2 linked regions of the Arabidopsis thaliana genome follow. The protein of the gene in region 1 binds, or shares a complex with, the protein of each later gene. Each region holds a gene or a part of one and is shown in the gene's direction. Other genes may lie near its edges. The genes, in order: AT5G02950 and NFC5.

Region 1 (5,190 bases):
TCTTGAAATATCTTTTGCGCTATTCTCAACACCGCATACAGTGGGATGCATCCTATCACAAGTTTATATGGAAGACTCTGCATATTTAATTAAACAAGATTATATTATTATAAGCATATGGAGTGATAACACATTCAGTGATGAAACTCATTCTATAGATTCACCTTATAGAATTTGGAATTTAAATCTTTGAAGTTTTTATTAGGCGGCTCTGTATCTCCTGTCCTTTGAGATTTGACTTTGAAGGTCCCTGTCATATAGAGAGAAAAAAAATACAATTAGCTAATCAAGAATGAGTCTAATTGTGGAAGAACAGCAACAATGAGACCGTAAAGAATTGCATCAAAGTTGGAAAAATATACAGAACCTGACCTCTGAAACTAGAAGACTTAATCCCACCTAAAGGCAGAGAGTGTAAACTCAAGCTCCTGCAAAAAAAGAATCAGAGATACACAACTTGTAAACATCACAACCCAATGAGCTTTGATTGAATGACAATTTCCAGATTTTGAATCAATTTACGATATACCTTTATCTTACAAACCCAAATTCCATTTGAAACTAAACTCTAAACCCAAATTCAGAGCTCCTAACTAAAACCGTCACATTTTCTAATCGAAACCATTGAACTTGGCTACATTTACTGTAAGCAAAACATGAAGTAAAATTCACCGGAAGAAGAAACAACAAAAATAAACTGTGATATATGCCCAAGCAAGTTTTGAAGATAAGGACGAAGAAGACGCTGACGGAACTAGAGGGTTCGGATTATAAAGAAAAGAAGAGAAGACACAGAAATAAACAGAGGCATTGGCATTTCTTTTAGAATATAGAATTTGTTGAGAGGAGTTACTTAGTATTGATCGCTTAAATGATAAATACCGTGTTCTTTAAGTATCTGTATCAGTTGTTTGGAAATAAAGAGCTTGTTTCTAACAAAAACACTCAAAATCTTCTGAGGATCACAAACTTCACAATCATCATCTTATCACTTATGGATAAAGTCACCACCATGCAATTGTTTTCAGAAATATCAAGTATAAGAAAGAAATTACAAAAACAAAACCTGTGAAAAGAAGCTAATCGATCTCTTGTCAAAGCTTGAGAAGGTAGAATCAATGGCTTCCAGGTAAACAACTGAACAGCCACCATCTTTCTTAATCTTCTCCTTGATTTATCTTACGCTCTTTTTGTTTCTCTCCTTATATATGTGGGTGGAGTATGGACACAAGGCTGGTTTTTTAGATTTTTGCGTGATTATTTTGTTGTTGTTATATTGTTTTGGACCATATTAGTTAGCCCGTGGGGTGTTATGAACATAAAAACAAATCGACTAATTTTTTTTTTGGCTTAGAACTTCATTTGAATAGGTAAACAACGCAGAGGAATCGCGTCCATAGAATAGAATATAATAAAAACAAAATGGTACTCTTATCGCTTTGAATTTTAACTACTTTCTCTTATTCCACTCACTATTCACGTTTTTATATACATACATACATATAAGAGTACATGTGCTAATAGCTGTCCAAACAAAAAAAAGAGTACATGTGCTAATAAACGACTATTTTTTAGTACTTTTGTTTCAATCGTTAAAATCTCATCCACAATTTTGAATCTCGAACGTTACTGGCTCCCAAAATATCCTCTCAATGTTGAGACGCCACATGACATAACAATAAAAATGACAAAGACATAACAAGAAAATGGATTTTGCATTTTTTGACCATTGAGAGAGCTAAGCACTTTACACAATAAACGGTGTTATTGTGTTTATATATGAATTGATATATTATTTTGTTAGTCTATGAGGAGTATTTAAAAATATCCCCAAAAGAGGTTTTTCAAAATATCACTTTTTAGTAAAACATACTATTAAACAAGTTTAGAAAACTTATAAAAAAGTGTCTTAATGTTGTAGGAAAACATTTGGTTCTCATTAAACATAAAATTAACAAATTTAATTCTTTAGAAATAAACTAGTTGTAGTAAAATTCTAATCTACTTGTAGTAAAATTCTATTCTATTTAATATCAGTAAAAACAAGTCAAATTCAAGTTCAAATAAAGAGGGAAAAGCAAAAGTTTGAAAATTTTGAACCTCACTCAATGTAATAATGTATGGTTGTGATGAGTCGAGACAAAATCAAGTACTGCCACGTGGAATAATTCGTGACGTACACGTAGCTCTCTCATAAACCCCCTCAAAACGAAAGAAACTCTGTTATTTCTTCATTACCCAAAATCTAAGCTTTCGTCGCCGGCGAAACCGTAACCGCCACCGGAGGTTCTGTCCACCTTTTTTGCTCTCCGATTATTTTCTTCGTCTCTCGTATGATGTACTGTTTTTGCTTTAATGGAAGCATATACTGAAGCAATTTCTGCTTTTTTTTGTTTCTTCGTTGTCTAGGGATTTTTGTTGGTGCTCGTTATGTCTACGGAACCAGAAGGAGTCGAATCTGACTCCAACGCTGATTTTGCCATAAATGCGTCGAGTTTTGACTACGGTATGGCTCACACATCTGAAACCCTAGCTGATCCCATGAGCTTTCAAGCTCAGGACTTGGTAGTGAACCTCACTGGAGTTGAGCGAAAAGTATTTGTCTCTGCTCGTGATGATAAGGATAGTCTCTGTAACGGGGTTGATTTTGATGCTGATTCAGATCTGCTTAAGAACAAGGATAAGAAAGGATTTTCTAAAGAGAATCTGAAGCTTTTTGACTCAGATTTGGTTTGGGCTAAACTAAGAAGTTATCCATGGTGGCCTGGACTGGTCTTTGATAAATCTGTTGCCTCTAAAGCTGCGATGAGGCACTTCAAGAAAGGAAATGTCTTGGTTGCGTATTTTGGGGATTGTACATTTGCTTGGAATAATGCATCTCAGATAAAGCCTTTTCATCAGAATTTCTCTCAAATGCAGGAGCAGAGTAACTCCGCTGAGTTTCGTGATGCTATTGATTGTGCTTTGGATGAGGTTTCAAGGAGAGTAGAGTTTGGTTTATCTTGCTCTTGTGTTTCAGAGGAAGCCTATAACAAACTCAAGACTCAGAACATAATCAATGCTGGAATTCGTGAGGACTCAAGTGTTAGATACGGTGGAGACAAGTTATCGGATGGAATCTCTTTTGAACCTGCTAAACTTGTGGATTATATGAAGCATTTAGCTTGCTTTCCTTGCTATGATGCGACTGAGAAGCTGCAATTTGTGATTAACCGAGCTCAGGTATTGGCTTTTCAACAATGGAAAGACTATTCTCACTTCATTGACTATGAAACATTTGTAAGGTCGGTGGAATCTGCTGCGACCCTGGCTTCTCTCCCAGAAGTAAATATGGATGAAGGAATATCTGCCAAAAAGAGAAAGACAGATTATAAAGATAATGCTGAACAGACAAAGGAGAAGACTTTGTCAGATTTGACTGTAAAGAAACGCTGTGGGAGCAGATCAACTGAGAAATTGGATGGTAAGTCGCATTCTGAAAAGAAGCGTAAGGTTGAGTCTTCGGAATCTGGTAAGTCTGAGAAAAGGATCAAGAAAAGTCAGCAAAAGGAGGATTCAGTGTCTAAACACTCTAATGAGGAAAGTCTTTTGTCAGTGGGTGATACTAATAAACTGCAGAAGACGGCTGAACCGTGTCATGGAACTGGAGTGGAAAATGAGATGAATTCTTTAACTCCTACACTTAAGCCTTGCCGTGCTTCTAAATCTACGGAAGTTGAGAATGAGAAGACTAAGAAGCCGAGACATCAAGAGCTTGCTGAAAGAAAGATTTCTTCTCCTGATGAGATGCTCTCAAGCCTTCACGCTGCCAATACCTCAACGGGAATACCTGATTCAATCAACATAGACCCCTCGAATTATGAAGATTTTGAAAAGTTCATTAATGAACTGTTTTGCAGTAAACTCAATGGTGACTCAAAGAAGGCAAGTATCACTGAGACATCAGAACCTTGTGATAAGAAAGACTCTGCAGAAGAAGAGATATTACCTGCAAATAAAGAAATCACTGGCTCAGGCTCGAAAGAGCAAATTGGTCTCAAGGACTGTTCTGCAGATTCATTACCACCCTATGCTTTAGTCCTCAACTTTGCGGATTCAGGTTCGGTTCCATCTGAAGAAAAGCTGAACGAGATATTTAAACGTTACGGTCCTCTCCATGAGTCTAAGACTAAGGTCACGATGAAGGGTAAGAGAGCCAAAGTTGTGTTCAAAAGAGGGGAAGACGCAAAGACTGCCTTTAGCAGCGCAGGGAAATACAGCATCTTTGGACCTTCTCTTCTAAGTTACAGACTCGAGTATGTTTGCCCCAAACGGAAAAAAACAACATGACTGATTGAGTCACGGCATCTCTTAACTTTCAGAGATTAGGGTCTGATCAGATATCATCAGCTAGGTCTTATGATGAGAGTAGATTTTCGATAAATAAACGTAACCTAGGATTTATGATGAGAGTAGGTTTTCGATAAATAAAAGTAACATTCGTGTGATGAGACTAATTCTTAACTTTATGACATACAAAACCAAAACTGGAAATACCAATGATAACAGTAAAGTTAGTCGCAACTGAAGATGAGGCTTATAAGTTAAAAGAGTAAATTGATTAAACACCAATAACATTAAACGATCATGTCTTAATTCAAAAACTCATAAAATGTAACACAAAATCAAGTTCTTGAAACATAAAGTAGAACAGAACAAGACTTAAACTGAACTATCAAAAACCATATCAAAAGCTTGAAGCTTTTTGTACGGGTTGCTTAAGATCTTGGCTTCTCCTTCTTTTCCTTGAAGAGGGCCAAGAGTGAAACACCAGAAACCTTCACGACCTTGAACCTAACTCCGGGAATATCTCCCACAGCGTGACCCTTACGACCAAATCCAGCAATCAAGACCTCATCCTGCAACACCATAAACAAGAAATGTATCAGCATATGAATGAAACTAATCCATAGTGTGATGATTGAATAGTCATTTCATGTGACTTACGTTTTCCTCGATGTAGTTCAAACAACCATCATTGGGGACAAAGGCAGCAATCTTCTTTCCATTCTTGATAAGCTGAACTCTAGCACACTTACGGATAGCAGAGTTAGGCTGCTTAGCCTCAATACCACTGCATCATCAAACACAAGAGTCTCATCAACGACCAATGTCTCTACTCAACAAATCAATTATAAGAAAAAGTAAACT
Region 2 (5,997 bases), on another chromosome or scaffold:
GTATCCGACTTTATCGGTGTTCACTCTTGCGATTGGTCTCGTCATTACCGCTATCTTCTTCATGTAAGCTAATAATTGATCTGATCTCTAGATCTTCGAAATTGCCCCTTCTTGTTCTCAATTTATATTACTTGATGTCAGATTAGTGAAACAGTTCCTGATAGATTCGATCTACCTATGATTTATCTTGATTTTCATAAAGCTTGATTAGTGTGTGATAGTCATGACTAGGTTCTGAACTATGAATCGTGTGAGGCTCTCCTCTTGTTTGTTCACTGTGTATGAAGCTTGACCAACATTGTTACTGCTTATATATATGGTTTGGTCACAATGCTTTCTCAATTGCTATTCTCTAGAGATAGGTCTTCTAAAGCTCCTGAAGCTACATGTTCATCACTTTCATGATCTCTTTGCTAGATTAATCTGTTGAAATATGTGCCTTTCTTATTACTAAAGTTTCTGGGTAAAAAGTAAGAAAGTCATGGGACTCATCTAGTAACCTTTTGGAAATGTGTGAGCTCTATATACTATCATGATATAAAGACTCAAAATTTATCAATGATAAGGTGATAGTCTATGGAAATGGAATCAGTACTCTAATAGTTTCACTGAATATGACAAAATGACTGATTATCGATTTAGTTAAGATACAAGAAAGTTAGATTTGTATGATTTTCATTTAAGCGTGGAGCATTTACCTTTCAAAGGGTGGCAAGTTTTAGGAGATATGATTCGGTTTGTTAAAGTAATGTGCGTCTGGGCTACGAGAGCATGTGGGTTAGCCTCGAGTCAAAACTTTAAGATAGACTTGAACCATTCATTTTAGCTTCTTTGTAATAAGGTCATATTGGACTCTTTTGGTATTCATTGTGCTGGTTTAGATTCATTCAGCCCAACAAGGAGTGATCAAAACTTACCCTGTCATAACATTTGTGTTGCAGCTATGAAGCTACATCATCCAGGAAAAACCGAAGCGTCGGAAAGGAGCTCGCTACTTCAGCAGTTGCATCTGTCTTCTTGGTATGGATTTTCTTCTTCACCCTCTTGACTTAAGTTTAAGAGTTTTCTTTAAATCTAATGTTTGGTTAAAATCTGTTTCTGTGTTATTTGCAGGGTTTTGGATCGTTGTTTTTGCTACTTGCTAGTGGTGTTTATGTCTGATCCTTCTTCCTCAATACTATTCCCAACTAGTTCAAAGACAAAAAAAACAGATTTATCTTTGTTCAAGTAAAATCAGAGTTATGAATGTTAAGACTTGAGAAGTAGCCTTTAAACACCAAGTTACAATTAAATTATCTTCTTCTTTTGAACGCTAAACCGAGTTTTGGTTTCAATTTTCACCGCCTTTAGAACAGCGTTTGCGTTGTTAAGTTGATCAGTTAGTAACTTTCTACCAAGATTTAGAAGAAAGCTTTACTCAAATTTTGTAATGGGAAGATACTGATTATACTCTTTAGTGTGAAGAAATCATTTTAATTCGCTAATTTAAGTATTTGCCTATTGGGTATTTGCCGGGACGAAGTTTACTCCACGTGGCATAAATAATAATATTATAAAAAAAACAAAGGAGAGTAGAGAGAAAACGAGAGAAAAGAAGGAAATGGAAAGCGAAGCAGCAGCGACTGTTCAAGCCACCAGGCCGAGAAGAGCACCTAGGACTCCGGTGACAGCCATTTTGACGGATAAGAGAAGACGGAAACCTAAGAGCAACAACGAGTCTCAGTTACCATTTTTGCTACAGCAGAGTCAAAAGGCCACCGTTGACGACACTTACTCTCAGTGGAAGACTCTTCTTCCCATTCTCTATGATTCGTTTGTTAATCATACCCTCGTCTGGCCCTCTCTCTCTTGCAGGTCTGTGTTTTTTTTTATAGGTTTTCTGTTTCTAGGGTTTTCGATCTTTGGTTTTGGAGAAAGTTGGTTCTTTTTTGGGAAATAAAAATTCTAGCTTTGTGCTTTTGGTCAGGCGATTGAGTTACATTTCCGTTTCAGCTAGTGAAATACTCATAGATTGAGAGTTTTTCTTAGCTGGTTTCTGGAATTTGTGAGATTAGGACATGTTCTAGTTCGGGTTTTTAATTTAGCTCAGTCTCCATGCTTTTCTGTGTTTCTTTCTCTTTTAGGCTTTTAGCTCATTAGCTATCTGATGTTTCCATTTTTGAACCTCTGGAACTTGTTTTGGTAGGAAAATGATGTCGTTGATAACACTTGACCAACTCGGTTTAGGTGTTCTGTTTTGTTACTTTTTGGTTTCAGATGTTTAGCTGTGCTACGATTTAGTGAAGTGTTTAGCTTTTGTGTAAAGAGGTACGATTTCGTTGTAATCCTGTTGTTTGATTTGAGCAGATGGGGGCCACAGCTTGAGCAAGCAGGTTCTAAGACTCAACGTCTCTATCTCTCGGAACAAGTGAGTTTGCTCTTGTTCTTGTGGTTTGTACATTTTTTCTTGATGAAAAATATCCAAAGTTTGTTTACTGCTCCTTATGTTTACCGTTTTTTCTTGGTTCTGTCATTAGACGAATGGCAGTGTGCCTAATACTTTGGTCATAGCCAATTGCGAAACTGTTAATAGGCAGGTAATTAGTTTTTCTCTACCAAAGCTTGTGCTTTTGTCCTTGTGTTACTCTCTGCTGAGATGAAATTATTGAAATACCGTTTCTTTATATGCTTTCAGCTTAATGAAAAGGCACACTCTCCATTTGTGAAGAAGTACAAGACCATCATCCACCCTGGAGAGGTGTGATATTCCTGTATTCTCATTGTTTTTTCTTAGATGGATTTACTGAATCTGCATTTCGTTTAGGACTTGAGTGCTGAAAAAGATTTTGTTTTGTGTACCCTTCATTCATCGCAGGTCAACAGAATTAGGGAACTCCCTCAAAATAGCAAGATTGTAGCTACTCACACCGACAGTCCTGATGTAAGTTCTGCTTTCTCGGGTCATCAGCGTGACAAAAAAAAGGCTTTCGTTATTCAGTATCCTTGTTTTTGAATAGTTCCAGTTTCAGTCATGCAAGTATGATATATTGGTTTTCAGATTCTCATTTGGAACACTGAGACTCAACCAGACCGGTATGCTGTGCTTGGAGCTCCAGATTCTCGTCCAGATTTGGTATGCTCTTGTGAGAATTTTCGTTATGTTGTCTCACTGAGTTAAACAACCTGCTTGTGCATCATATTAACAATCGAAAGAGCTACTCTTTTTGCATCATTTGAACAACTTTTATTTTCAGTTACTAATTGGGCACCAGGATGATGCTGAATTTGCTCTTGCAATGTGCCCAACCGAACCTTTTGTTCTCTCTGGAGGTTTGTATCAGTTCTATTTTTGTGTCATATCTTGTGGTTTGCAAGTTTCTCATCAAAGATTCTTCCGTGCAGGCAAGGACAAGTCCGTTATTTTGTGGAATATCCAAGACCATATCACAATGGCTGGTTCGGATTCCAAATCCCCTGGATCCAGCTTCAAGCAGACTGGTGAAGGTAGTGATAAAACTGGTGGTCCTTCTGTTGGCCCTCGAGGCATATATAATGGCCACAAAGATACTGTTGAAGACGTGGCATTCTGTCCATCTAGGTAACTTCTTGGGACAGTCTCCTTTTTTAATAAGCTCTTAAGTTTACACCCAAATGCAGACCTACTCAGAATTTTCTGATGCTTTTGGTATAAAAAAATTGGTAATTTTTTGTTTTGTCCTACAGTGCACAAGAATTCTGCAGTGTTGGTGACGATTCTTGCCTTATGCTATGGGACGCAAGAACTGGCACTAGTCCTGCCATGAAGGTACCTCTTTTTTTTAGCCAGATCGACATTTGAGGTTTAACTTTTTGGTCTTGTTTCAGATTCCGTCTGTTTCTTCTTGTGCGCTGGCAGGTTGAGAAGGCACATGATGCTGATCTTCACTGTGTCGATTGGAATCCTCATGACAATAATCTGATCCTGACTGGGTACTGATTTCACAAACTTAAATACTTGTCCAAAAGTACAGAGATGCTACTCGTCCTCTCACTCTACGCTTCTACATCACTTTTCCAGGTCAGCAGATAACACTGTCCGTGTGTTTGACCGCCGAAACCTTACCTCAAATGGAGTTGGTTCACCTGTTTACAAATTTGAAGGCCACAGAGCTGCTGTTCTTTGTGTTCAGGTTTCAACAACATGCCACCACCTCTGTTTTTTTTTTTTGTTTTTTTCTTTTCATATTATTTGTCCTGTAAACCTATCCCCAATGACATTGCTTCGTTATCAATTCAGTGGTCTCCTGATAAATCATCTGTTTTTGGGAGTTCTGCAGAAGATGGTCTCTTGAACATATGGGATTGTGATAGGGTTAGTACAATTTCTCACATTCACATTTAAAACTATTCTCTTACTTTCAAGCTCACCATATTAACATATATGTGTGCACCAGGTTGGCAAGAAGTCTGAGCGTGCAACCAAAACTCCTGATGGGCTTTTCTTCCAGCATGCTGGTCACAGGTTCTCAAGACTTAATTCTAATTCACTTGCTTGCCTTTCCCTTTTACTCTCTTCAGTGGAATCTATAATTTCCTCGTGTATATCTTCTTAGGGACAAAGTGGTCGACTTCCACTGGAGCCTATTGAACCCTTGGACTATTGTCAGTGTTTCTGATAATTGTGAGAGTATCGGTGGAGGTGGTACATTGCAGGTACTTTTAAATGTCTTGCTACATTTACTCTGGAACCTACCTATGATTAACTTTCTCGGTAAAAATGAAAACTTTTGATTTGTAAATTAATGCAGATATGGCGGATGAGTGACTTGATTTACAGACCGGAAGATGAAGTCCTGACAGAGCTAGAGAAATTCAAGTCACATGTTTTCACATGTACCTCCAAGTCTTGAGGAAGCAATCCCATCATGTCTATTAGTATTAGTAAGTTGCTGGGGTTTAGTGTCAGTTTTTGCGAGGAAAATCAGTTTACTTATGCGATTTAGGTGTTATTTTTGCGGAATATTACTTGGTTTATGTAGGCCAGTAATTCAACATATTGGTAGATTTAGGACTTCCGGAATCTTGTATGGTACTTGATCCTGTTTCTTCAGGTTAATCCTAGGCACCTAACTTGCTTGTATTTTCAACTTTTTTTTTTGTGAATCCAAACTTGGTTAAGCAAGACCAAACTAAAACAACAGATTGAATCAGTGAAATCCAAATCTCAAGTGCTTGACATTTGACTCATGTGTCCCTGAACCGTTCAGTTCTACTTCCAACAACAAAAGCAGATAGAAAATCGTCGCTCTTCACCTCTATTCGGTTTCATTTCAAGCAAGATTGGTTCTGCGTAAACCGGGTTGAACCGGATCAACTCATTAGATCTACAAAGGATTTGTGCAATCTTAAGACCTGACATCTATACAAACTTGCAGACAATTGAACTTAATACTCTTGGGATTGTGGGGTGAGGGAGTTAGGTAGCAACATTTGAGGAAATTTATTGCATAATATCTTCTAGTAGATTCTCTCTCTCTCTCTCTCTCTCTCTCTCTCTCTCTCTCTCTCTCTCTCTCTCTCTCTAGTTAAAAACATCTAGGTACTAAGCCTTTCATGGGGTTTTGATTTATCTGACATTAAGTACACTACTCATTTATAGATATAAGACCATCTCATAGGGGCTTCTCTAGGTTTTGTTGGATTCTCATCATTGATTCATTGCAGCTATAACCAAACAAAACCTTCTTTGTCGACGCATACAAACACACACATATATACATAAACACACGTTTTGAGTTTTGTATCATTGTATGTGTATGTGAATATGCCAAACTATTTGTTTGGAAGTGGGGAGACAAATTTGTGGCTCAAGGAGTACTATATCTTCATTGTTCAAGATTTAGTCCTTTTAAAAATCCTAGCCATTAAACCCCTTTTCTGGTCTGCCTCTCTATTGCCCCCTATCGAAATTGTTGTAGTGATGCTACACCATTCAAGCCGATCATTGGTGTTCCTTACAAAGTAATCCAGATGGATCAT

What was found.
Region 2: AT5G02950 (region 1) and NFC5 share a complex: the UniProt entries of both Arabidopsis thaliana proteins name them as parts of the PRC2 (polycomb repressive complex 2) complex.

The regions. Positions count from the first base shown.
Region 1 is NC_003076.8:688,523-693,712, forward strand, and holds AT5G02950 (Tudor/PWWP/MBT superfamily protein), read left to right. Parts: upstream 1-2,162; 5' UTR 2,163-2,286; exon of another isoform or gene 2,287-2,409; 5' UTR 2,410-2,430; coding exon 2,431-4,329; 3' UTR 4,330-4,577; downstream 4,578-5,190. Other genes in the region: AT5G02940 (ion channel POLLUX-like protein, putative (DUF1012)), read right to left, coding at 1-77, 165-250, 373-428, 1,067-1,152; AT5G02960 (Ribosomal protein S12/S23 family protein), read right to left, coding at 4,758-4,898, 4,987-5,113. UniProt on the Arabidopsis thaliana protein: May influence gene expression by regulating the function of the PRC2 complex and modulating H3K27me3 level.
Region 2 is NC_003075.7:14,558,126-14,564,122, reverse strand, and holds NFC5 (nucleosome/chromatin assembly factor group C5), read left to right. Parts: upstream 1-1,521; 5' UTR 1,522-1,600; coding exon 1,601-1,854; intron 1,855-2,346; coding exon 2,347-2,407; intron 2,408-2,516; coding exon 2,517-2,576; intron 2,577-2,674; coding exon 2,675-2,737; intron 2,738-2,854; coding exon 2,855-2,920; intron 2,921-3,037; coding exon 3,038-3,112; intron 3,113-3,233; coding exon 3,234-3,309; intron 3,310-3,381; coding exon 3,382-3,577; intron 3,578-3,702; coding exon 3,703-3,784; intron 3,785-3,874; coding exon 3,875-3,948; intron 3,949-4,036; coding exon 4,037-4,148; intron 4,149-4,255; coding exon 4,256-4,330; intron 4,331-4,412; coding exon 4,413-4,480; coding exon of another isoform or gene 4,481-4,571; coding exon 4,572-4,671; intron 4,672-4,766; coding exon 4,767-4,868; 3' UTR 4,869-5,196; downstream 5,197-5,997. Other genes in the region: AT4G29735 (uncharacterized protein), read left to right, coding at 1-63, 685-750, 942-1,020, 1,114-1,161. UniProt on the Arabidopsis thaliana protein: Core histone-binding subunit that may target chromatin assembly factors, chromatin remodeling factors and histone deacetylases to their histone substrates in a manner that is regulated by nucleosomal DNA.